Linked DNA regions of Pelodiscus sinensis. The protein of the gene in region 1 interacts with the protein of each later gene in a biochemical or structural test. Links are inferred from orthologs where the notes say so. Each region holds a gene or a part of one and is shown in the gene's direction. Other genes may lie near its edges.

What was found.
Region 2: of the proteins of SNTA1 (region 1) and MAPK12, one has a biochemical effect on the other in vitro, tested with the Homo sapiens proteins (2 studies listed by BioGRID and IntAct, with this or other methods). The link is inferred for Pelodiscus sinensis from reciprocal best matches to the Homo sapiens genes SNTA1 and MAPK12.
Region 3: the proteins of SNTA1 (region 1) and FRMPD4 interact in a test that uses a peptide from one of them, tested with the Homo sapiens proteins (2 studies listed by IntAct, with this or other methods). The link is inferred for Pelodiscus sinensis from reciprocal best matches to the Homo sapiens genes SNTA1 and FRMPD4.

The regions. Positions count from the first base shown.
Region 1 is NC_134728.1:33,977,829-33,985,528, reverse strand, and holds the start of SNTA1 (alpha-1-syntrophin), read left to right. Parts: upstream 1-4,622; 5' UTR 4,623-4,750; coding exon 4,751-5,021; intron 5,022-5,246; exon of another isoform or gene 5,247-5,384; intron 5,385-7,700. UniProt on the Homo sapiens protein: Adapter protein that binds to and probably organizes the subcellular localization of a variety of membrane proteins. May link various receptors to the actin cytoskeleton and the extracellular matrix via the dystrophin glycoprotein complex.
Region 2 is NC_134711.1:37,391,818-37,399,252, reverse strand, and holds the start of MAPK12 (mitogen-activated protein kinase 12), read left to right. Parts: upstream 1-4,368; 5' UTR 4,369-4,594; coding exon 4,595-4,710; intron 4,711-4,906; exon of another isoform or gene 4,907-5,184; intron 5,185-5,723; coding exon 5,724-5,853; intron 5,854-7,435. UniProt on the Homo sapiens protein: Serine/threonine kinase which acts as an essential component of the MAP kinase signal transduction pathway.
Region 3 is NC_134711.1:214,148,721-214,156,584, reverse strand, and holds the start of FRMPD4 (FERM and PDZ domain-containing protein 4), read left to right. Parts: upstream 1-4,797; 5' UTR 4,798-5,431; coding exon 5,432-5,502; intron 5,503-7,864. UniProt on the Homo sapiens protein: Positive regulator of dendritic spine morphogenesis and density. Required for the maintenance of excitatory synaptic transmission. Binds phosphatidylinositol 4,5-bisphosphate.

The DNA.
Region 1 (7,700 bases):
TAGGACACAGGAATCAGATCAAGTTCTTGAAAGGGTGATTTTTATTTAAAAAAACCCAACACTTTTGGTAAGACATTGCTCAGTAACACCTGGCAGCCCAGCCACTGAAAAAGGATTAAAAACACTGAAGTGCTTCCCTGGGATTCAGCTTGGAAAGTTACAGTGTAAGGGGCTAGTTAAATGTGCTCAGCACAGAGAAATCCAACAAACCTGAAAATCGCCTGACTGGGTCTGACTAAACATTCCCTGTTCTACTCACATATCTGTAGTTTCAAGACTGAATGCTTCCGTGGGCATAGGTGTCGCTGGATTCTCCAGGCCTGGCTCCTTCCAAGGCCTCTGCTGTGGTCACACAGGAACAAGAAGGGCTGCTGCGTCCAATTCAAAAGTTCATACTCTTTTCATTGGTTCTCCTGGTCAATGTTCCCTCTCTTTCCCACCCTTGTGTGGAATAATTTTTTTCAAGTCCACCAAGGCCTGTGTGAATGTGCACCACTAGTAGAAACACAAACCTACTGTGGGCACTGTGCCAATCAGCTGGGTGGCATTTGACTCTCTCCTGAGAGGCCGCACAAGCACACAGCTTACAGGAAACACTGCTGCTGGTCTCTTGCCAACGCACGGCTTCCCTAAGCATTCCCGAGGGCTCTGGGACTCACTGTCTATGGTTTAATCCTTCTAGGCAAGGGTTAGGGTTAGGTCTAAAGAGTTACCACTACTCAGTAAAGACTTTAGCTAACGGAATGGCTGGAATGTCCGGAAAATGCTGCCTCCCCATTCACCGCAATAGCATTTCTAGAGTCATCCATGCTAAGGCTGTACGGGGCCACTGGGGCTAGCTAGGCTACCCCTGCATAACCCAGGCCGATGGGTTTCAGTCCTTCCCGCATTGGTCCCAGGACCAAAGTCTGAGCTTGTCTGAGCCCTGCGTGGGGAGGGCCAAAGCCAGAGCCCCACTGCCACGGCAGGGGGCCCAAACCTGGAGCCCAAGGGCTTGAGGCCTGGGCGAGGGGCTTGTAACCTGGGCCCTGCTGCCCAAGGCTGAGGCTGAAGCCTGCGCCCCACCAGCCAGGGCTTTGGCCTCAGGCAGTGGGGCTCAGGTTTCAGCTTCTGTCCTGGGCCCCAGCAAGTCTGAACACCAGGCTTGGAAAGCCCATTGAAGCAGGGTCCTGACCCGCAGTGAGAGCTGCTGATCTAGACCTACATGCAACAGTGCACTCAGGTAAAGGCCTGTTTGGGGGCATCCCTGCCTGGCCCAGGGGGCGGGGCCAGGGGGTATTGCTATTTGGGCACCTACATAGCTGCCAGATTTTCAAAAGAACTCAGCACCCACGCGGCACCCTTAAAAAAACCCGACTCACTTCGGTGCCTGAACAGGGCCCTGAACGATTGGAGATGGCGGCCCAAGGTATGAGATTCCCTTACCAGGTGACCCCCTCTCTTCCCCAGTATTTATTCATCCCTGCACCCCGATGCTGACTGGGAGTGCTTTCATGCCGGGCAGCATGGGAAGGGAAATCAGTTGCCGTCTGTCCAGAGGTCGCACTGCTCGCTCTGTTAAAAGTGCGCTTTGCTCGCGGGGGCAAGTCAATTCCAGCCTGGTGTGGGCTGGATGTTCAGAGAACCGCTGGTGAGCGGCACTAGGGCAGTCAAAGCCACCACGGGAGGGCTGCTTGGCAGGACCGCCTGCTGCGATCGCTTTGGCACGCCCAGAATCGGCTCCCTCCACACCTTCAGCGCAGCCTTTGCAAAGGCGGTCGGCTTTAAATGCTCCCTGTTCTTATACAGCCTCGGTGGGATTCTTGCCCAGAGATGTCTCCAGTTCTTGCAGTTTTATGAAAGAAGCAAAAGCTGGATACAGTCAAACCTGGCCGTGGGCCCCCCCTTTCCAGGTGTATTCTGCTTTGCTTTCCGGTTACATGGATCTGCTGAAGGCGGAGAGCAGGGATCGTTTGTGGCTGTATGATCCTGCTGGCATTCTGCTTTGCTCTCAGGCCTAGTTCAGGAGTCCTGTGGAGTCTCCTGTACAGCCATGAATTGTTTGCCTCCAGGAGAGGGAAAGCTCTGCTGGGGAGGGGCTTTGTGGACAGCTGCTTCTCCACATCTGTTCTGTCCTCTTTCCAGGCTTCAGGGGCAGGCCCTCTGTGCAGACTCCTCGGGGCCTGGCCTGGGGAAATTGCCAGACGAATACCTGGGATGCACACAGCATTTTTTCTAATACAAGGCCGGTCCCTAGGGATTCCTGTCTCAAAGAACTGAAAACACGTGAGTGAATTGACCCGAACGTTCCTGTGAGGCAAGTGACTATTAGCCTAATTGTATAGCTGGAGAAACAACAGCACCAGGAGAAGGTCCGGGTCCTCCAAAGAGCTTAGGGCACTGTGTATTCATTTGCATGGAATATAGGGCCCAAAGGTGTTAGGCTGTGTCTACACTGGCAGCTTCTTGTGCAAGAACCCTTCCAGAAGAGAGCGTCTGCACTGGCATGTGCTTTTGCGCAAGAGCATCCATGGCCGTATGGACGCTCTCTTGTTCAAGAAAACTCCGATGGCCATTTTAACCATGGGGCTTTCTTGCGCAAGAAATTCATGTTGCCTGTCTACACTGGCCTCTTCTGGAAGAGCTCTTGCGCAAGAGGGCTTCTTCATGAGCGGGAGCATCAGAGTTCTGGTGCAAGAAGCCCTGATTTCATACAGTAGAACGTCAGTTTACTTGCGCAAGAACACGCGGCCAGTGTAGACAGGCAGCAAGTTTTTGCGCAAGAGCGTCCGCTTTTGCGTGAGATCGCGCCAGTGTAGACACAGCCTGAATGCATCAACCAGGCACTTGACCAACATTAAATGGTTTCAAATAAGGGTTGTGGGTTGGGGTACGCCAGCGGCCACCAGCCAGTAGACTGGGATCTATTGGTAGATCCCGGAGCCTCTGGCAGGTCATCCTGACCGGTTTGGCCGGGAGGCTCTCAAGCACTAGCTCTTCAGCTGCCCCTCTCCGCTCAGCCACTGCTTCTGCCCTCTGCCTTGGAGCTGTTCCCTGGGAGTGTCCTGCTGGCTGTGCAGGGTAGGAGAGGCAGAAGAGGGGGTGCTGTCAGGGTGTCCCCAACCCTGTACCCCAGCTCCACAGAGTGAGCAGGGTGGGGCCTTGGAGCCCGGGCGGGGTGAGACTACAAAGCAGCCCAGGTAGAGTATGTGAAATATAACAAAAGGATTTTATTTGATTTTTTTTAGCTGGGGAGAGTTTCTAGGAGGAAAATCCTCCTGGTCCAGTTTTAGATGTGTCAGAGCTGGCAACAAATGTCAACAAATGTTTGGGGGACGGAGAAGAACTGAGGTGAGATGGGTTGCTGCTGTAATAGTCCCATCGCATTTCCTAACATGAAAACACACACACAGGGGAAGGGAGAACACAGCTTCTGCCCCTGCTGGTAACTTTCACTCGCAGCCTCACTGCCCAGCATGGGATCCTCTTAGTCACTCCGAGGCCTGGCAAACTTGCCCCAGCATCAGACTGTTTAGATCATAGCTTTTAGCTGCCTTTTTTTGGTCACAGGCTTAAAGCAAAATATGTAGTCTTGGCCGGGAAAGCGGGACAATCCTTAGACAGAAGGAAAAAAGGGCAGGGTCAGGAAAGAGAAGAAATAAGAAGGGAAAGGACAATAGTAGGGGAAGAGACACAAAGCCCCTCACGCCAGGCCTTGTTGGGGTTCAGCTGGAAGTGATGAGGTCATCTGGGTCCTTCTCTGTCTGCTCAGGACACCCTTCCGCCTACCACAAAGACCTTCCAACTCTCAGGTGACCAAGTGGGGTGGCAGCCACAAGGGAGCAGCTCACTTTTTTCATTTCTCTCCTCTCCCAATGGGTCCAGGACTGTGAGAGCCTCCAGCTGTTGGTTCCTACAGTCTCCTTTAAAAAAAAAAAAAAAAGCCCCCAAAGGAGCACTGGGTGGCACAGCCCATCCTTTTAGCACTTTGTTCACCAAGAGGGTTAATGTCCGACACCAATTTCCGCACCTTGCGTACTGGTATTAGCTCTCAGGCCTGGGTTCAGTCTTGAGCTATATTAGTTGGCCTTTTGGCTTGTGCTCTGCCTTTTGCCTTCCTCCCTGTGACATTTATTGCAGCAGGTGACTGTGATAATTTAGCAACTTTCACTCACGTTTCACAGCGGAGCTTACACTGGGGTAAATGTGCAGGGCCCATTATTACAACAGCTTCTACCGCCACTGAAGGCCACGGGGGCTGACAGTTTCCTGAGTCTTTAAAGTGCTACCAGACTATGTGCTGGTTTTAAGTTTCCTTTAGCATTTCCAGGGTTGGCCAGGCAGCTAAAAGCGGACGGGGCCGCGGACCCAAGAACCCCAAGTCCCAGTGCCCTGCCCCCCTGCCCTGAGCCTTTGTCTGTGGACATCTGGACAAGCTCGCCCGGGTTCTGCCTGCGTCTAGCCCTAGCGGCCACCTGATGCTCGGCTCGGGAGGGAGCTGCCGGCCACGGGAGGGGGTGGGGGCTCGGGTCTTGGCTGCTGACACCGGCCCCCTGCCCGAGAAGCGGCGCGGCTCCGAGGGAGGGTCCGGGCGGTGCTGCCGCGGCGCGGGGAGGGGAGAGGCGTGTCCGGGGGCGGCTCCCTGGGCGGGGGCGTCTGGCGGGCGGCCCATGTGCCCGGCACCGCCGGGGGCGGCGCCCGGGGTGGCTGGGTGCCCGGTGCCCCCCTCGGGCCTGGGAGGCGGCGCAGCTGTCCCAGGAATGCGCTGAAGATGGCGGCCGGCAGGCGAGCCCCGAAGAGCGGGCTGCTGGAGCTGCGAGCCCCGGGCGAGCACTGGCTGCGGGTGCTGCTCACGCTGGCCGAGGACTTCCTGAGCCTGAGCCCCGCCAAGGGCGCGGGGGCCGAGGAGCCGCCGCCGCCCGGCCCGGCGCAGCTGAACGGCGGGGAGCCGTGCGCCCAGGTGCCCGAGGCGCTCGCCAACGTGCGGCGCACGGTGCGGATCGTCAAGCAGGACGTGGGGGGGCTCGGGATCAGCATCAAAGGTGAGGGGCGCGCGGCGCCGCGCTCAGCCTGGCTCCGGGCTCTGCCCGCGGCCCCGAGCCGCCCGGGGAGCTGGCTGGTGCCTGCCCAACTTCGGCGCCTTCCCAGGGCGGGGCGCGGCGGCAGGTTCTGCCCCGTGGCGCCGGGGCCCCGGCGGTAGCTCGGGCGCATCAGCCGGGCGGGCGGCGGCAGCTCCCGGCCCAAGTGCACAGCCCGGGCCCTGCTCCGCGGGGCTTCCCACGCGCGAGCAGCGCCCCGCAGCCGGGTGCCGGCGGTGGGCAGGTGCGCCAGGCGTGGCCGGCTGGAGACGCGGTTCCCTCGACTGGGCTGGCGCGGGGCGGGGCGGGTGTGAGCATTCCTGCAAGGTGAGTGTGAACCGGAAAGTGCCCTGAGTGGGCAGTACCTCGGGGGGAGGGGCGGGCCAAGAATTTGGTGAGTGGCCGGGGGCTGCGCTTTTCATCAAGGGCGCCCTTGGGCGCGGGAGGGGGCTGGGTTCAGGCCTGGGGCCGGGCTGCAGTGGGGGTTGTGACTTGGGGCAGGGTGTTGGGGTCCATGAGGGGGTACCAGGTGCAGGCTCTGGCTGGTAGGTGCTTACGTTGGTGGCTTTCAGCTGGTGGCCTGTGGGACTGTCAGGCAGGCTCCTTGCCTGCTATGCCCCCCCCCCCCCCACACACACCGTGGCTGGCTGCTGTGGCCAGTGTGTGTGTGTGTGTCTGCATGGTGGCCCCTTGGAGGGGGTGCAGGGTCTCCACGTGCTGCACGTCCCCACAAGCACTGCCCTTGCCATGCGGAGTCACTGGCTTCAAGAATGGGAGGTTTTGAGCTGGAGGTGGGGTAGGCAGCCAGGGAGCCTGCCCCAGGGTCCCGCTGGGTCGCAGCTGGCTGCAACCAAATGTTTGGGGCTGGATTTTGCCCACCCTGGAGAAAGCGAGTGCATGGAACGTGTCTAAGCAGGGTTGGGTTGGATTGAACAGAAAGGTTAAATTGGCGGGGGTGGGAGTGGGGGAGGGGGAAGAATTATTCTGTACTAAGCTATTCCCTGGAATGTAAAGGAGCTGAGCAATGTTCTCCCCCTACATCCCACGTAGTTCAGGTCAAGTCACATTCGCTGTCTTTTCATTGTTAATTTTGCTGTGGTTGTGTGTTTCCCCACTGGGATGCTTCTGTTGCTGAGGTCGAAGGATGTTTTCACATTCTTTTGTTGGCATTGCAGCCTGGAACAGAATTCTGTGTCAAAATGCCGTCACCCATCCAAATGTCCATACGTAAAACCCCATGATTCATTGCACTGAATGAGTCTTGCAGGTGCACCATTTCAGAATATGGGGGGCGGGGGGCAACCTGTATGTGCCAGGATGGGTGGGGCAGAGAGAGTGAGAGCAGGAGAGGCAGGCAGACTGAGGACAGCAGCTTCAGCAGTACAAGCTAAGCACCAAATGGGGGGGGAACCAATTACTTCTGCCCTCCCCCCAACCCCACGTAATCTCTATCTCAGGGCTGCTAGGGCACGAGGAAACTGCTTTTTCTGGCAGACAACTTAGCAGGTAGCAGGAGCACTGTATCCAATTCCTATATAAAAGAAAGAAAATAAATATTAGCCCCACTCAGCTCTACCACTAACGTATTCTGATAACTTGTGGAAAGTTGCTTAAGGGACACTGGTTGGCTGGAAATGTGAATGTCTGTTCTTACTTTACTAACTTTGGGGAGAAAGACCGACCCCGTCAGGACTCCTGGGCTCTCTCAGCTTGGGAAGGGGAGTGGGGTCTAGTGGGTTACAGCAGGAGGCAGATATTTAGGGGCTGAAATGTAAGAACATCAGACTGGCCAGACTGGGTCAGACCAAAGGTCCTTCTAGCCCTGTATCCTGTCTGCCGACAGTGGCCAGCACCAGGTGCTTCAGGAGGAATAAACAGATTAGGCTTCATCATGATCCATCCCCTGTTGCCCCTTCCCAGCTTCTGACAAACAGAGTCCAGGGACACCATCTCTGCCCATCCTGGCTAATAACCAGGGCTCGACAAACTGGCGAGAGCTCCTCACCAGGCCTGCACCGTGCATGCACGAAGCGCCGGTGAATGGGGCGCACGGAGCGACCGGCTGCAACCTACTCACCTGGGCAAGTAGAAACAGCGGCTTGTGGAGACCTGCTAATCACCATTGATGGACCCGCCCTCCTCGATCTTAGTGTGTTCTTATTGCAACCCTGTTACAGTTTGGACTTTCCCATCATCTGGCAAAGAGGTTCCACAAGGGCTTTGTAGACCTTTCAAAGTTTTGGCCCAAGCGAGGGGGCTTGGGGGCGTCATTTGAGCTCCCCGCCTCGGGTGCCAAAATGTTGTGGGCCGGCCCTGCCCACCCTTTAGTCATTTCTTTTCCAAGCTGAAGAGCCCCCGTCTTGTTGATTTCTCCTCCGATGGAAGCTGTTCCTTACCCCTGATCATTTCTGTTGCCCTTTCTCTACCTTTTCCATGTCCAATAGATCTTTTTGTAGCTGGGGTGACCAGATCTGCATGCAGTGTTCAAGATGTGGGCATACCGGGCTTTATATAGACACAATATGGGATTTTGTCCTCTTATCTATTCCTTTCCTAATGCGTCCCGACGTTCAGTTAGCTTTTTAGTTTGCAAACTGCCACTGCACGTGGAGCAGATGTTTGCTGGGAAATATCCACAAGGAT
Region 2 (7,435 bases), on another chromosome or scaffold:
GATGGAATGTATATTAACTAACTAACTAATAATGGCAAATGGCTCTTAAATGTCTGTAGCACAAATACCCTAATCAATGATAGACATCAGTCTTTTCCAACACAAGAGAATAAAGAAGAAATGCAGGCAAAATAGAAGAACCTGGGTTCAGGAGAAGGCTGCAGAGGCAGAAGAAAGAGCACAAGGGAGATTTCAAGCAGCTCCATAGAATAGTCAAATACATATCAGGAAGAACCAGACTGTCACAGGTGGTGCCCAGCAGGGATTCTCATGAACCTGTTGAAAATGCATAAAGAACAAGGCAATCATTCTATACTAACGTGACCAAAGTCAATGATCACAAAGCTTGGTGAGAAATTCCATGGGTAAGCTAGAAATAGAAGGGGGACAAATAACATCTAATGAAATAACAGCATTGCAGTCACCAAAGTTCTTAAACGGGAGAGATTCTGGGGTTGACAGAATTCAATCAGCACTAATAAAGTCTGGAGGGAAAATTCTGACTGAACAGCTAATAAAACTCTGTAATGAAATATAGACAAGTTAAGGTAACAGGTGCAACAAAACTGGAAATATGGTACCACTGTGGCACTGCCAAAAAGTCTGATCTTATTCAGTGCACAAGCTGAAGAGGAATTGTACGGCTAACAATCCCAGGAAATAATTGGCTACCTTTATGCTGAATAGGATGAAGGTGGCAGTGAATGAAATATTACAAGTCTGGATTCCATCCAGATAGTTCCTGCTGTGAATTGATACTCACTCTTTAACAGATCATTGAAAAAGCTACTGGTTGGCAACTAATACTCCATTTTAATTAACTCTCTCTAGTTTAAAGAAAGCATTTAATAGAGTCCACAGAGAACCCTGGGGAATATTGCTAGAAATTATGTGATACCAACAAGCTTATCAACATTATATGCTGGAAGGAGACCTAAATTAAGAGGAGATACAGGCCTACATGTTTCAATATTGTGAGTGGTGTCTAACAAGGGTATGTTTTATCACCAAACCTCTTTGCATTAGTAATAGATTGGGTGATGAAGCAAGCAACAAAAGGTATCATGGATTCTGTAAAATGGGTTAGCAGAGATGAATTACATTATCTTAACTTTGCTGATGACATTGCTTTATTAAGCATGATGGGGAACTGAAGGATTACCCTTACATCAGCGGTAGAACAGGAAGCATAAAAAAATTGGATTGAAAGTAAATGCATAGAAAACCAAGATTATGAAGGTAGGAAACTGAACAACAGATTCAAAGATGTACACTGATGGAAAAGAAATTGAAAAGTTGAAAGAGTTCAGCTATGTGAGGAATGTGTGATGACATTTAAAGGAGGCTGTGATGAAGATGATATTACAAGATTAGGAAAAGAAACACCACTTTTGGAAATATGACCCATAACCATTCTGATAGAGATCTCTACTCCAAACTAAGGATCAGATTATATCATACAATTATACTGAGCATGCTACTGTGGAGAGCAGAGACTTTGCCAATGAGAGTTGCTAAAAGAAACTGAAACTGAAAGCTGCCCAACACAAATGGCTAAGGAAGACACTACACATTTCATGAGCAGACAAAATAACAAATGAGAGAGAGCTTACAGAGCAGGACATGCTAGAACATATCAGCAAAGAAAGAAGACACATGATGTGGTAAAATGGGAGAACATAACTTAAGAACATAAGAAGAGACATGCTAAGCAAGCACTGAATTGGTTACCTGAGTGAAGAAATAGAACATGAGAAAAATCAAGGAAGCACTTGCAAGACAGAGACAGAGGATGTAGCATACGTTGGCATTACCTCAGAAGAAATACAGCAGAGGAATTAAACAGCTTGATGTGTCTGTGGCACTGGAGGAACTAAGGTATAAGGCTCCACTTACATATTAAGTGATATGTACCAAAGTTGTTCACTTTCACTGTGTAGTATGTAGTTATACTGCAGAACCAGCTTGACTGTAAGCACTTACTTGATGCAACAATATAGGCAGTCCCCGGGTTACGTACAAGATTGGGACTGTATGTTTGTTCTTAAGTTGAATTTGTACGTAAGTCGGAACTGGTACATATTGTACCCCAGGTGTCCCCGATTCAGCTGCTGCTGAAACTGACCAGCGGCTGACTACAGGAAGCCCGAGGCAGAGCTGCTCTGCCCCGGGCTTCCTGGAATCAGCCGCTGATCAGTTTCAGCAGCAGCTGACTTGGGGACACCTGGGGTAGAGCAGCTGGGGTACTGCCAGGTTGGTCCCCGCAGCGCCGAGGTGCGGCGCTGCGGGGACCAACCTGGCAGCACCCCAGCTGCTCTGTCCCAGGTGTCCAGATTCAGCCGCTGTTGAAACTGACCAGCAGCGGCTGAATTGGACACGGCTGGGGCAGAGCAGCTGGAGTGCTACTGGGTTGGTCCAGTAGTGCCGCACCTCGGCGCTGTGGGACCAACCCGGCAGCGCCCCAGCTGCTCTGTCCCAGGCGTCCAGATTCAGCCGCTGTTGAAACTGACCAGCGGCGAGAAAAGCCTGGTCTGCTGGGGGGGAGGGGTGCACTAGCTGCGCCCCCTCCAGCAGACCAGGGAGACGTTGGTGGCGGGACCGCCAAGATGCTCCGTGGTCCCGCCGCCCGCGTCCTCTGCGGCTTTGCTCCGCGTCTCCCTGGTCTGCTGGGGGGGGGGGACCCCCAGCAGACCAGGGAGACACGGAGCGGCTTTTCTTGCTGCAGAGGACGTGGGTGGCGGGACCGCCCAGACGCGCTGCTGTCCCACCGCCCGCGTCCTCCGTGGCTTTGCTCCGCATCTCCCTGGTCTGCTGATGTGAAGGAGGGATATAGACAGGATAATAGGGAAATGGGAAACTGTGAACGAGTTTTACTCTGACAATTGGGCCAGAGGTTTGGGGAGAAGTAGAGAATGGCATGTTATGTGACAGCAAAAATAGAAAAAAATGTTAATGACAGTTACACCTTTTCACTGTATGATCCACCAATTTTTGTTTAAATCTGTTTATCTACACAAACTTTTTCAGTTATTCACTTTGGTGCAGGATATGTTTCTCAGGCTATGTCCAGACTGCAAGCTTCTTTCTGAAGAAGCTTTTCCAGAAGAGATCTTCCAGAAAAACTTTTTTCAAAAGAGTGTCTACTGAGCAAAAGTGCAATGAAAAAGTTATCTGCTTTTTCGAAAGATAGCATCCACTTTAATTGAACGCTATCTCGCATTTCAGTTGTGATTACTGTGGATGGAGTGGCCACCAGGGCACCTGTGCTTTTTCCTGCAGGCCTCTTCTTTCAAAAAAACATTCTTCCGTGACCACACACACCTTTTTTGGAAAAAGCTTCTTCGAAAAAAGGCTTCTTGTAGAAAAAAGTATACCGCTGACAGAAAAAACCCTCCATTCCTTTGACTTTCTGTCGAAAGAATGCAATAGCAGCATGGATGTAAGTGTAGTGTTTCCAGAAAAACTCCCATTTTTCCAGAAAAACTCCACAGTGTAGATGTACCCTCATTCTGTGTCCACACAGTGCTTAGCACAACTGGGCCCCAGTCCAGTTGGTGGGAGACTTTAGATGCCACTGGAATAAATTAACAATAACTCTCCACTGATCAAATGTTCCTTCATCCCCTTAATCGACCATAGTAGCTCTGACAAAGATAAAAAGAGATGGAAGTAGCCACCCTTGGGTTCTTTCATGTGCATACAAGACGTTGCCTTTTAAGTGTATTTTATTTTTTTGAGACAAAAAACATTTACAAAAGCCATGGAACTAAAATATATACCAAATTTTACTGCAAAACCATGCTGCTTTTGATTACTTGTGTCAGTGTAATGTTTATCAAACTGTTCACTGGGACAAACATCTAGGCTCCATATAGGCAACTAACTGGATTAGTGGGTAGGTACCAGTTTGCAGCATTGGCTCTGGGGCCTCATATAAGTAACCCCTCTTCACCGGGGTCTTGTCTGTAATGCAGCGTGCAAACCTTGCTTTCTTTTGTCTTGTTGCTTGCATGTCCCAACACACTCTCTGTAAATAAGAGCGTGTGCCATTCAGCTAGACCCTCCCTTTTTCAGAGAACTCAGAGATCACACCTAGCTAGAAAGCTGCTTTCGAATACAACAGGCTTCCTTGAAACAGGCTAGAAATGGGGGGCCTTTCGGGGTGCGGGGCGACATCTCACCACGTGATCTCGAGTTGGTTTGAGAAGAGCGAGCAGATCCTCCCTAGCCCAGGGGCTGAGACCCTCCCAGCCTCGCCATCAGGCAGCAACCGCAGGCAGGAAAGTTATGTGTCTGTGACAAAGCAGGCAGCCCCAGATGCGGAGGGGGAGGGGGGAATTCAGTGTGACTCCCACAGGACCTCCTCCTCCTCCTCCTCCGAGAGGGCAGGCGTGGAGGTGGGGAGGGGAGAGGAGAGGCGGGGAAAGAGAAAGCCGGAGCCACATTCAATCCCCGCTAAGAGAGGGTCCCACACGTACACACACACCCCGGGAGCGCTTCCAAGCCCAGCCCCTCGCACCAGCCCCGCCGCCGCAGCCCCTCTCTCCGCCTCGGGGCTCTTTGTTGGAAGGCGCCGACAGGGGGCCGAGTCACCATGTCCTCCGCCAAGAAAGGCTTTTACCGGCAGGAAATCACGAAAACCTTGTGGGAGGTGCGGGAGCGCTACCGGGACCTGCAGCCGGTGGGCTCCGGAGCCTACGGCGCTGTGTGGTGAGTGAGGCAGGGGAGCAGGGGGTCCCTCCCAGCGCCTTGCCCAGGGCGCCCCGGCCAGGACAGGGCTGGGCGGGAGCTGCCTGCGCTGCGCGCCCGGGCTAGCAGAGGGCTGCTCTCTGCCTGGCGCCCCGCCCTGGCGCTGCAGAAAGGGCTCGGGGAGGCGGCTCGGGGGGTCCCTGGCTCGCGGGGGAAGCGTGGCCACTTTCCCTTTAATTCCTTCCAACTTTGTGGCTGCTCCGCCCCCAGCGGGGCCCGGAACCGCTCCCCGCGGTGCCGGAGTCACTGCAGCCAGTTCCGACATCGGCCCGGCCGGCTCCGGTGCGAGGGAAAGGCGTACGCCCGGTACCTCCGCGCTCACATTGCAACGAAGGGCAAGTTGGAAGGAAAGCCCAAAGCGGACAGTTCTGCGATCCTGCCCGGAAAAGCTCTTCCTTAGTGCCAGGGGGCAGGGCATTGAGTTCATCACCTGAGGCATGAGAGTTTCTAGCCTTTCTGTGTAACTTTGCATGGTCCCATTCATGGATATAGGCAAGCACTTTCCTAGCTACCCTAAAGTCTTGCAGTCCGCGGTGTCCTGTAGCAGTGAGTTCCACAGTTACATAATCCAGTAAAACTGCATTTCCCTATTATCTTTTTTGCATTTTGACTTCATCAGAATGTTCCATTCTTTATTACAGTATGAGAGCTGATTGACCTCTGTTCAGACATTGCTTTATAGACCTCTACTGTGGCTCATCAGAATTGCCTAGGAAGAATGGTCTATTTTCATGGTGTCCAACCAGTTCTGAAGCTATAGCTTAGGGAGTTATTATTCCCACTTTACAGTAAGATAAACAAAGGCACAGATAGGTTATGTGACTTTGCCTCTGTAACATAGCAAATCAATGGCAAGGCGGAGCAGAGCCCCACACCTGGAGTCCTCTAACTTATTGTTCAATGTACCTTGCGTGTCAGGACTTCCAGCATCACTCCAATCCTCACTCACAAACTCTATACTTGTTTTCTTAAAGCTCAGCTATTGATGGAAGAAGTGGCATCAAAGTGGCCATCAAGAAATTGTACCGTCCATTTCAATCTGAACTCTTTGCCAAACGAGCCTATCGGGAACTACGCCTCCTGAAACACATGAAGCATGAAAATGTAAGTTTAGTTGTTAGCATATACTCTCAAGACTGCAGCTTGCACAGCAAAATGCATACATTTCACCATGCATGGTGCCTGATCTACTGTCCCCCATACTTCCAGTATTCCCATAATCTGCCAAGGTAGACATGCCCTGGCACCGCAGCATCAGTAATTTAGCTCTAACAAAGATTTTTAGCCATGTATTTAGCATAAAAAATAGTGATGATGAGAGTGCATGTATGTGCCATTAGAGAGCAGCCGTCAAAAAGTGACTTTAACCTATACTGTTTGCATGCATTTGTCTATGGCTATCCTGTAGATTTTAAACTGTGAGGGATAGTTTTTTTTCTATCTGTCTTTACAAAGCCTACCACATTCTGGGCACTATTGTAATGTACAAACAAATCTATAAACACAATGCATGTACACCTATATACATTGTAACTTGCACAGTGCATATGCCTGTCTCCTGTGATGGAATACTTGTTGGAGAGGCGGAATGTGTGAGTAGCTTTGAGGATTAACTCCATGGTGATCTGGAAGAGAATAAAATGATGGTTTGTGAGGAGCAGCAATCAAGGCTGGACTATCAGGGATGAAGGAAAGTGATAAAAGATGAGTGATTAAATAGGGAGAGGCAGAATTGTTTTACTGAGGGCATTCTGCACCAAAAAATAAAAATTCTGCACACAATTTTTTAAAATTCTGCAAAATTCTGCAAATTTTATTTCTCAAATAAATGTGGAGGCCCCAGCATGACAGTGGGGAACTCTGGCTACTGGCTGCACAGAGATGGGAGATCACTGTGCAGCTCCACTGCCACAGGTCATGGACTGTGCAGTGAGACTGCACCCAACCTTGACAGAGCACAAGGACAAAGCTTGCCCAAGAAATACCTTATGGGCAAGGCCTGTCCCTCCTTGACAGATGCCCCAGGTATGGTCAGGGAAGCTCAGCAAGGCAGTTAAGATGACCTAATCCCCCAGTATAGACAGCATTAGGTCGACGGAAGAATTCTTTGGGGAGGTGCCTTTTGGGGAGGTGGATTACCTACAGTAATGGGAGAATCCTTCCCCTTGCTATGATGTCTACACTGAAGCAATACAGTGACACAGCTCAAGTGCTGCACTGGTACTACTGTCATATTTCAAGTGTAAACAAGATCTTAGTCACTTGAAAATGTCATTTAGCTGCTTCTTGAAAATTTTAGTCACTTCGATATAAGGGAAGTGGAAAAGGGAAACTAGAGGGAGATTCAAAGAAAATGTGAAGATCGGATGTGATCAGAGTAGTGGAAGGTGATTGTAACACCTGTGTTTGCTCTGGATTGGAGGAGGGTAATGTGTCAGGGAAGTGGAAAAGGATAGGGCTGCAGTAATGAAGAGAGGATTGGAGGGAAGGAAGGAGTCAAAAATTACAGCCAAATTATGTGCCTGATGGACAGGAAGGATAGAAATATTGTGAACAGCAGGAGAAAATAGGGAGCAGGGGAAAGGAGTTCAGAGGAAATCTCAGATTCATTTTTGACTATGTTAAAATTCATGTTGGTGGCTAGATAATTGCCATGAAAAGATCTCAGAGAAACAGATTGAGATGT
Region 3 (7,864 bases), on another chromosome or scaffold:
GCAATGCCCCTTAGCTGGAAACCATGAACCGCAGCCAATGGAAGCTGCGAAGCTCCGTGGCTGTGGACCCTTAGCTAAACAAAGTGTTGTGGGCCCTCCAGAGCTTACCTGAGAAGGCCCACCACACTACTTTGAAAACCACTGCCATAGATGATTTGCCATATGAATCTTACTTGGTCAGTAAGAAAACCTACTCTCGACATTTGTACACTGACCCCATGATCTCTGAGAAAAACATCAGGGGCAGGTATATAGGCCAACACCACTTCCTCCAAAAACATTTTACCACCAGTTTCTAGCCAAGTCTCTGTGCGTGTGCCAGAGAGTTTAAAGACCTTGATTTTCAACACTTTTACTGCTATGACCTCTATCCATTCCCACTCACGCTCTAACTACTCTAGACACCGCAATTGAGAACTGTCTATCTTTATTCATGCCAGCCATGTATATTCCCTTCTTCCCCACCCCCCAGTCTTTGGAGGATATCACTCACTTTGTTACCCACAATTGGGACTCTATCATGACAGACAGGTGGGCTCTAGAAACCATACATTCTGGTTACTCTGTTGAATATCTCTCCCATTCCACTCACAAACAACCTTCCTGGTTCCTCCACAGTGACCACTCTCATAAACATACTGTTTTCTAAAAGTCAGATTCTCTTCTCCAGTGAAGGGCAAAAGAATGATATCCACCTGTGTATCAAGAGAAAGGGTTCTGTTCTCCATCCTTATTAGCTCCCCAAAAAGACAGTGGGTGGATGTCCAGTTTAGACTTTTGACAATTGAACATCTTTATTCAGAAGTCAAAATTTAGGATGGTTACAACTAGCATCAGTAAGGGAATGTGGTTTATGGCTGTGAAAATAAAGGATGCCTATTTTGATGTAGATAATAATTTATCCCACGGACAGTTTAATTGGTTCTTGATAGATCAAGAACACTACCAGAGTCTTTCCTTTTAGACTAGCAACAGCTCCCAGGGTTTTCACAAAAGTCCACTGTGGCCCTCAATTTTAGTAAGAACTTTCCTCCCCATAGAAAGATTTCAATCAATGAGCAATCTGATATCACATATTACTTGGAAACCAGAAACTACGGTCAGAATACACCTGTATCTACTAGGCCAAATGGCCTCGATGTGATGCCATTTGCCAGACTTCATTTACACTGCCTATAGGCTTGGCTCTGAGCTATCCATCCACTCCCCATACAAGGACTACATGAACGGCAGAGTGACTTTTCTCACTTGCTTCAGGGAGTGACCGGTGTCCTGACCAGCCATGCAGTCTTTTGTCTGGTGAATGGATGGAACAAAGCGAGGCCTTTAGGCAGTGAAATTGGGTCCAGAGTCACTCTAACAAAAGTTATAATCCTTGTGAGGGTCACAGTGGACTTGTGCATGCAACTGACAAGTACTGCTCAAAGATGGAACAGGAACAAAGTCACAAACTTTACCACATTGCTGGAGTGACCTATTTGGAGTCAATCATCCATGTATGAGAAGACTGGGTGGCCATGACATTGCATCTGGGCTGCCACCACGGAGAAAACAGAGACATTTCTTTGCCTGGCCATAACCCAAACCGTCTTCCTCGGACTCTGCAGATATTTCAATCATTTTTGGTTATCTCCTGTCACTGAAGAATTCAGGTTTTTTCCCTTTGCTTATTGCAAGCCCATCAAGCAGTGTTCAGTGCCTTCCTTCATGTAGTAGATAGGCATTCAATTTTTACTCACTGAACAACAAATTCCTGAAGGGCCTAGTCAGGACCTTTCTGCCCGTAATCAAGCCTACAGTTCAATAGGAAGAAATAGAGCTTACTTACCTGCGGCCAGAAATTCTTCCAGATGGGCAGTGCCTATGTGTATTCCATTATCCACCCCATTGCTTTGGATCCTGTTGGAGTCATGCTAAGAAGAGGAATTGGAGAGGTGTTGGCCTATGCTGCTTCTTATGCACTTGGTCTAGAATATAAAGAGAGGGTGCATGTGTGGGCCATTAAACACTGCTTGTGAAGAATCTCTGAACTTGGGCATATAGTGTAGGCATATACCCAACATGTGGAACACACGTAGGAACCAAGCATCTTGAAGGACTCCAATTACAATTAAGTAATCTCTGTTCTTCAAGAGTTATAGATACATTTTTATTAAATTTTCTATTTAGTTTTGATCTTAAAATCAATGGAATAGGAAATGTCTACAAATGAGCTCAAAGCATTGGTCATGAAAAAGAAAAGCAAAAATTCTAAGCAGAGCCTTTGTTTTTCAATCTTTCCACTGAATACAAGTGAACTAAAGCTAGCTGTGTCATATACCTTAATAGCAGTAGGAATTTATGAGTTTCACAGAGTAGTAGTACCTGTTAAAATAAGAGGCATTGAAAACTGCACTACTAGTAACCTTCTGGGTGTGTCTTTAACATTGAGCTGAGCATTTTGAATTTAGTCATGGTCTTTGTTGTTCAGTATACAGGCAGTCCCCGGGTTACGTACAAGATAGGGACTGTAGGTTTGTTCTTAAGTTGAATCTGTATGTAAGTTAGAACTGGCAACCAGATTCAGCAGCTGCTGAAAGTGACCAGCGGCTGACTACAGGAAGCCCGAGGCAGAGTTGCTCTGCCCCGGGCTTCCTGGAATCAGCTGCTGATCAGTTTCAACAGGCTGAATCTGGATGCCAGTTCTGACTTACATACAGATTCAACTTAAGAACCCCAGGCGTCCCCAAGTCAGCTACTGCTGAAACTGATCAGCGGCTGATTCCAGGAAGCCCGGGGCAGAGCAACTCTGCCTCGGGTTTCCTGTAGTCAGCGCTGGTCAGTTTCAGCAGCGGCTGACTTGGGGACACCTGGGGCAGAGCAGCTGGGGCTGAATCAGGACGAATGAATGGGGCTGAATCAGGAGGAGCAGCGGCTGAATCAGGACGCCTGGGGCAGAGCAGCTGGGGTACTGCCTGGTTGGTCCCGTAGCGCCCACTAGCTGTGCCCTTCCCTCCCCCCCCGCCACAGCAGACCTGGGAGACGCGGGCGGCGGACTGAGACGCACCGCGGTCCCGCTGCCTGCGTGCTCTGCGGCTTTGCTCCCCGTCTCCCTGGTCTGCTGGTCTCCAGCAGACCAGGGAGACGGGGAGCAAAGCCTTGGATGACGCTGGCAGTGGGACAGCCGTGGCGCGTCTTGGCTGTCCCGCTGCCCGCGTGCTCCGCGGCTTTGCTCAGCATCTCCCTGGTCTGCTGGGGGGGGGTTCCCCCCCCAGCTGACCAGGGAGACGCGGAGCAGCTTTTCTCGCCCCGGAGTACGCGGGAGGCGGGACCGCGGCTCATCTGCGCGTCCCGCTGCTCCCGTCCTCCGGGGCGAGAAAAACCCCGTTCGTAACTGCGGATCCGACGCAAGTCGGATCCGCGTAACTCGGGGACTGCCTGTACATAAATGGAACTGAGTTCAGGTTACAACCCACCTGTTTGGGAGAACTGATATTAAAAATCTCAGAGGGATATCTGTGTTAGTCTGTAACTTTAAAAACGAATAATCCTGTGGCACCTTAGAAACTTACAAAAATATATATAGTATCATGAGTTTTACTCATGAAAACTCATGATACTATATAAGGTGCCACAGGACTTCTCATTTGTATTAAAAATGGCATTCCGATAAAATGCCAAATCTGGCTCTCATGCAGTCTTGTTGCCAGACAGACCTGAAGAAGAAGTTTATGTAAGCTCGAAAACCTGTCTGTCTCTTCAGCAGAAGCTGATCCAGTAAAAGATATTACATCACCACCTTGTGTCTCTAATAAACCTGGATGTTGACAATATAGGAAAATCAAAGAAAATGGTGCATCCATGTGAATGCACTTAAAAATACACCTCTTTGTTTCTCCTTAGGATAGCTTTCATTTTTGTTTTTAAAGCCTTTTACTTGTGGTCCCATGCATTACTATTTTGACCTCTCTGCTGGCATAAATGACTGAGCAATTGAAAATCAAAGCAACATGGTGGGATTGGTAGATATGCATGGTAGGTAGGAGCCAGGTGATTGCAGTGATAGAATGCAGCATATTAAAAGATGTGATGGGTGAAGAAACTGATTAGGAATGAAATCCGCTTATTATCCAGTGATATAACACTGCCATATTACTCATTTTCTTATTCCATTTTTGACAGTAACTCTAAATTGTTTCTCTTTGTATCCAAGGGTTGACAGAGTGGAGGAGGAAAACTAAAATTACAGCACATATTGCTAATGCATTGTAATTGCTTTAATCTCAGAGAGCTGGACCATCAGGACTTAGATAATGTACTGCTAGGATACTGATGATAGGCTTGGTGGGAGTGCTGAAGCAGAACGTATATTTCCTAAACTTTTGTCATTTATTATAAAAAATATTCTGTAACCTATTTTCCAAGGTCTAAAATGAAGTATTATTATGTGAAGACTGTCAGTTCAGGTAAATGTAACTCTACTGGTAGCTTAGCAAAGACAACACGAAGAACAAAGCAACATTCTTTACGTAAAGAGTGCACTGATTGACATGCCTGCTAGAAATGGAAATGTGCAGTTTTTAAGTTTATTGCCACAGGCTGGCTGGCCCTTTAAGGCTCAACCTTGCCTGTGACGTAGCAGCTAGCTTCCAGCCAATAAGGATGTGCCAATTTAAGGCTAATTAGTGACTCAGTCTGAGAAGGGATTAGGACAAGACTGTACAGGGTGGAGAACTCAATTTGTGGGAGGGGAGAAGAATAAAAAGAAAGCAAAACTTTTCTGTGGGAAGGAGAACGAGCATAGTTCCTTTGAGGGAGGCCCTCCGATAGGTCAGTAAAAGCATTTTATAGGAGCCCACAGGAGGTGGGAGACTTATTAGGTCAGCTGGGGTGGGAGAAGCCCAAGGTTTAAGTAGTAAAGGGAGGCTGTGTTAAACACAGGCTGCAGAGAAGCAGCCAAAGGACCTTACAGGTAGGAAGCGGCCCAGGAAAACAATAGCATGTCTGAAGGAACAGTCTTAGGTATTTAATGCAGGATCTTTGGGCTATGTTCCCCTACCAGCCCCTGAGAACAGGACATGCAACTGCATAAGCAGATGACGGCTCCTGTGAGAGAGGACCTGAGGGAGGGTCAATGAGAACACTGAATGTCACCCAAAAGAAAAGGAGTGGAAGAATTATTATTTGGACTTCACACCTTTGAGTTCTAGTTGGACCCTTTGTTATGCCACGTGTGATTGAGCTTTAAGCGAATTGGCTAATGGGCCAAACCATGGGAGGTGCAGTGAGAGGCAAACAGCCAGTAGGAGGTTCCGGAGACAAGGAAGACACTGTGGGTGATGAGTACATCACCTACATGAAAATATGCTCACTTCAACTGGATGCCGTGAGTCTTTGTCTGGCTGCAGAAACAAAGAAGGTGAAACTTTCTTAGGGAGCAGCACTCAAAGGAATGAATTGTAATGAGTGGGGAAAGAGAACACACCTGGACAGAGCCTGGTGGAAAGGACAAGGCAGGAACAGGTATGGAAAAACAATAGCCCAACAATCTGGAGAGAGGGGGGCGGATCTTTATACCATGCACCATGGTAAGAACTCTTTCTGTCTAGGGCCAACAACACCCACCCGTAGGATTAGTATAAGGCCAGGTTTGTATGTTAAGGATGGGCATTTCACTAGTCACTTGTTCCTTTGGGGGCTAGGAAGGAATCTTTCTTGCTCTTCTATCTTGGCCACATGGAGGTGCCTTCCCCACAGCTGGTAGGGAAGGAAGTTAGGCCAGATGATGAGTTTAGCAAGTGCCCTAGACAGGTAAACAAGCTATGGAAGGGGTCGTGCGGGAAGGCATTCCCTAAGAAAATTGGAGGAAGTAGGGTTGGGTAGTGTAAAGTCTGATACTGCAGGAAGGCAACTTCCTCTGCTTTTCCCTGAGTCTCCCCCGTCATACCATGGAGACTGACAGGGTCCCTTGAAAGAATCGTGTTGAGAAGAGTGAGGGCTGATGGCAGCCCTCCCAAATAAGTACAAATGATGAAGGAAGTAATGCTGAACTGAACAGAATGATTATTGCCACGTGTTCCCAGGTACGTTAAGTGAATAAAATTACAATCTAATTTAACCAGATCCATCCGTGGGCTTGGGACAACAATGTAATCCGTAGACATATCTTAGATAGATCAAGATATGTCACTGTTTCTAGTGTTTGGATACTTAGTTTCAATTTGTTCTCTGATATGAATGTATGCGCAAGTAAATATTAGTAACTTAAAATGAAAGGGAAAATATCATTTTAATTTGATCTTTTTCTAAATCATAAAATTCCATGCTACTGCTGAACCCTCCACGCTACTGCTCCCCCCTCTCTCTTTAAAGCTTTAACTAAGACCACGTTTCACCACATTAACATCAATACACTCAAAATTGTCAAAATGACCATTAGCCCACTATGTGTGACGCATGAGCATATCTCTGTATTTTATACAGTACTTTACACAGCTCATGTTACGGAATTCATTATGGTGCTTGGTTTAAAATGGAGGAACATATTTCAACCTTATTTGTATATGGCGTAAGGAAGATTTTACTTCTACAAAGCAAATGTCACATATGCATTTTTAATATAATTTGCACTTTTGATCATTATTGTTTTAATATGTAATAAAAATAAATTGTCTAAATCGCCAGTAAATTAAATACAGCCTGGAGCAGGGCCAATGATCAAGCAGAGGGCCATGTGGGGGAAAGTGACAGCACCCACCTCACATTGGCCCTGCTTCTCTGTTTATTATCCAAAACATACTACAGCTGTTGCTAATCAAAACAAGAAAAAACCCTAAGAAATATTATGATTTGTAAAGTAATATCTGAAAGACTGCAATGGGCTTTTTCTAGTTGTGGTTTTGACAGTCTTTGGAAACAGCGGGCTGATTTAGTGATCTGGTCTTTTAGTAACATTATCATCAAATCATATCCCATGGAAGTAGGATTAGAATCTGTCTGACAACATACCATATATTTTGACTGCCAAGATAAGGAGAGGTCAGGTAATGAAGGAAGTAGCTCCGCAGTGAGCTTTAAAAAAGCTATTAATCGTGTGCTCAGATGATTTTTTTACAGACTGTATAATTTGAAGGAAAAAATATAATTGTTCATTACTACAAAGTACTGTAAACTTAAAATGCACAATGAAGCAGTTTGCTCACAAGACTCACACATCATCCAGTGTTACCTCAAGTGTTTTATTTAATGCTTTCTCTGAGACTTATTTGGGCAAGTTGCACACTTATGAATAATTTTATCTGCCGTTATTTTTAAAGGAATCCTAAAGACCACTGGCATACACATCTAAAATTAAAGTTATCTGATGTGTATGATTTTGAATGCAATGTGAGTGATGCGTGGGGGATGTTATGGCATAACTTAGCACTGCGCTATCTTAGAATTAATTTTGCACGGTCAGGCTTAGTTAAAATTACATTGTCAACTTAAATCACGTTTTGGTCTGCAAATATTTGCCTGTGATTTTAAAACTGAAAGAAGATAAAATGATTTCTTTATTTTTTTCAGTGTATTTGTATCTTGCTTGTTTTGACAGCATTTTGTGTAAATGTGCAAATTTCCATCTCTTTCTCTCTCTCTCCTTTCCCTTCAAAGCTTTCTTCTTTATTCTTTGATAACTTTCTGGGAAACTTCTTTGGAGCTTCAGTTTTCCAGCACCAAATACCAGAGTAGCTATTGAAGGAGATTTCTTCAACTGATATTTGAGAGTGGTTTTATGCTTACGGTGAAATTTTTCCTTCTGAAAACCACCCTTGAGCTAGTGTTTGGATCAGTTGGTATAGAGAAGAATGAAAGGTCTGTAACATGAATGGACATTTTGTCTATC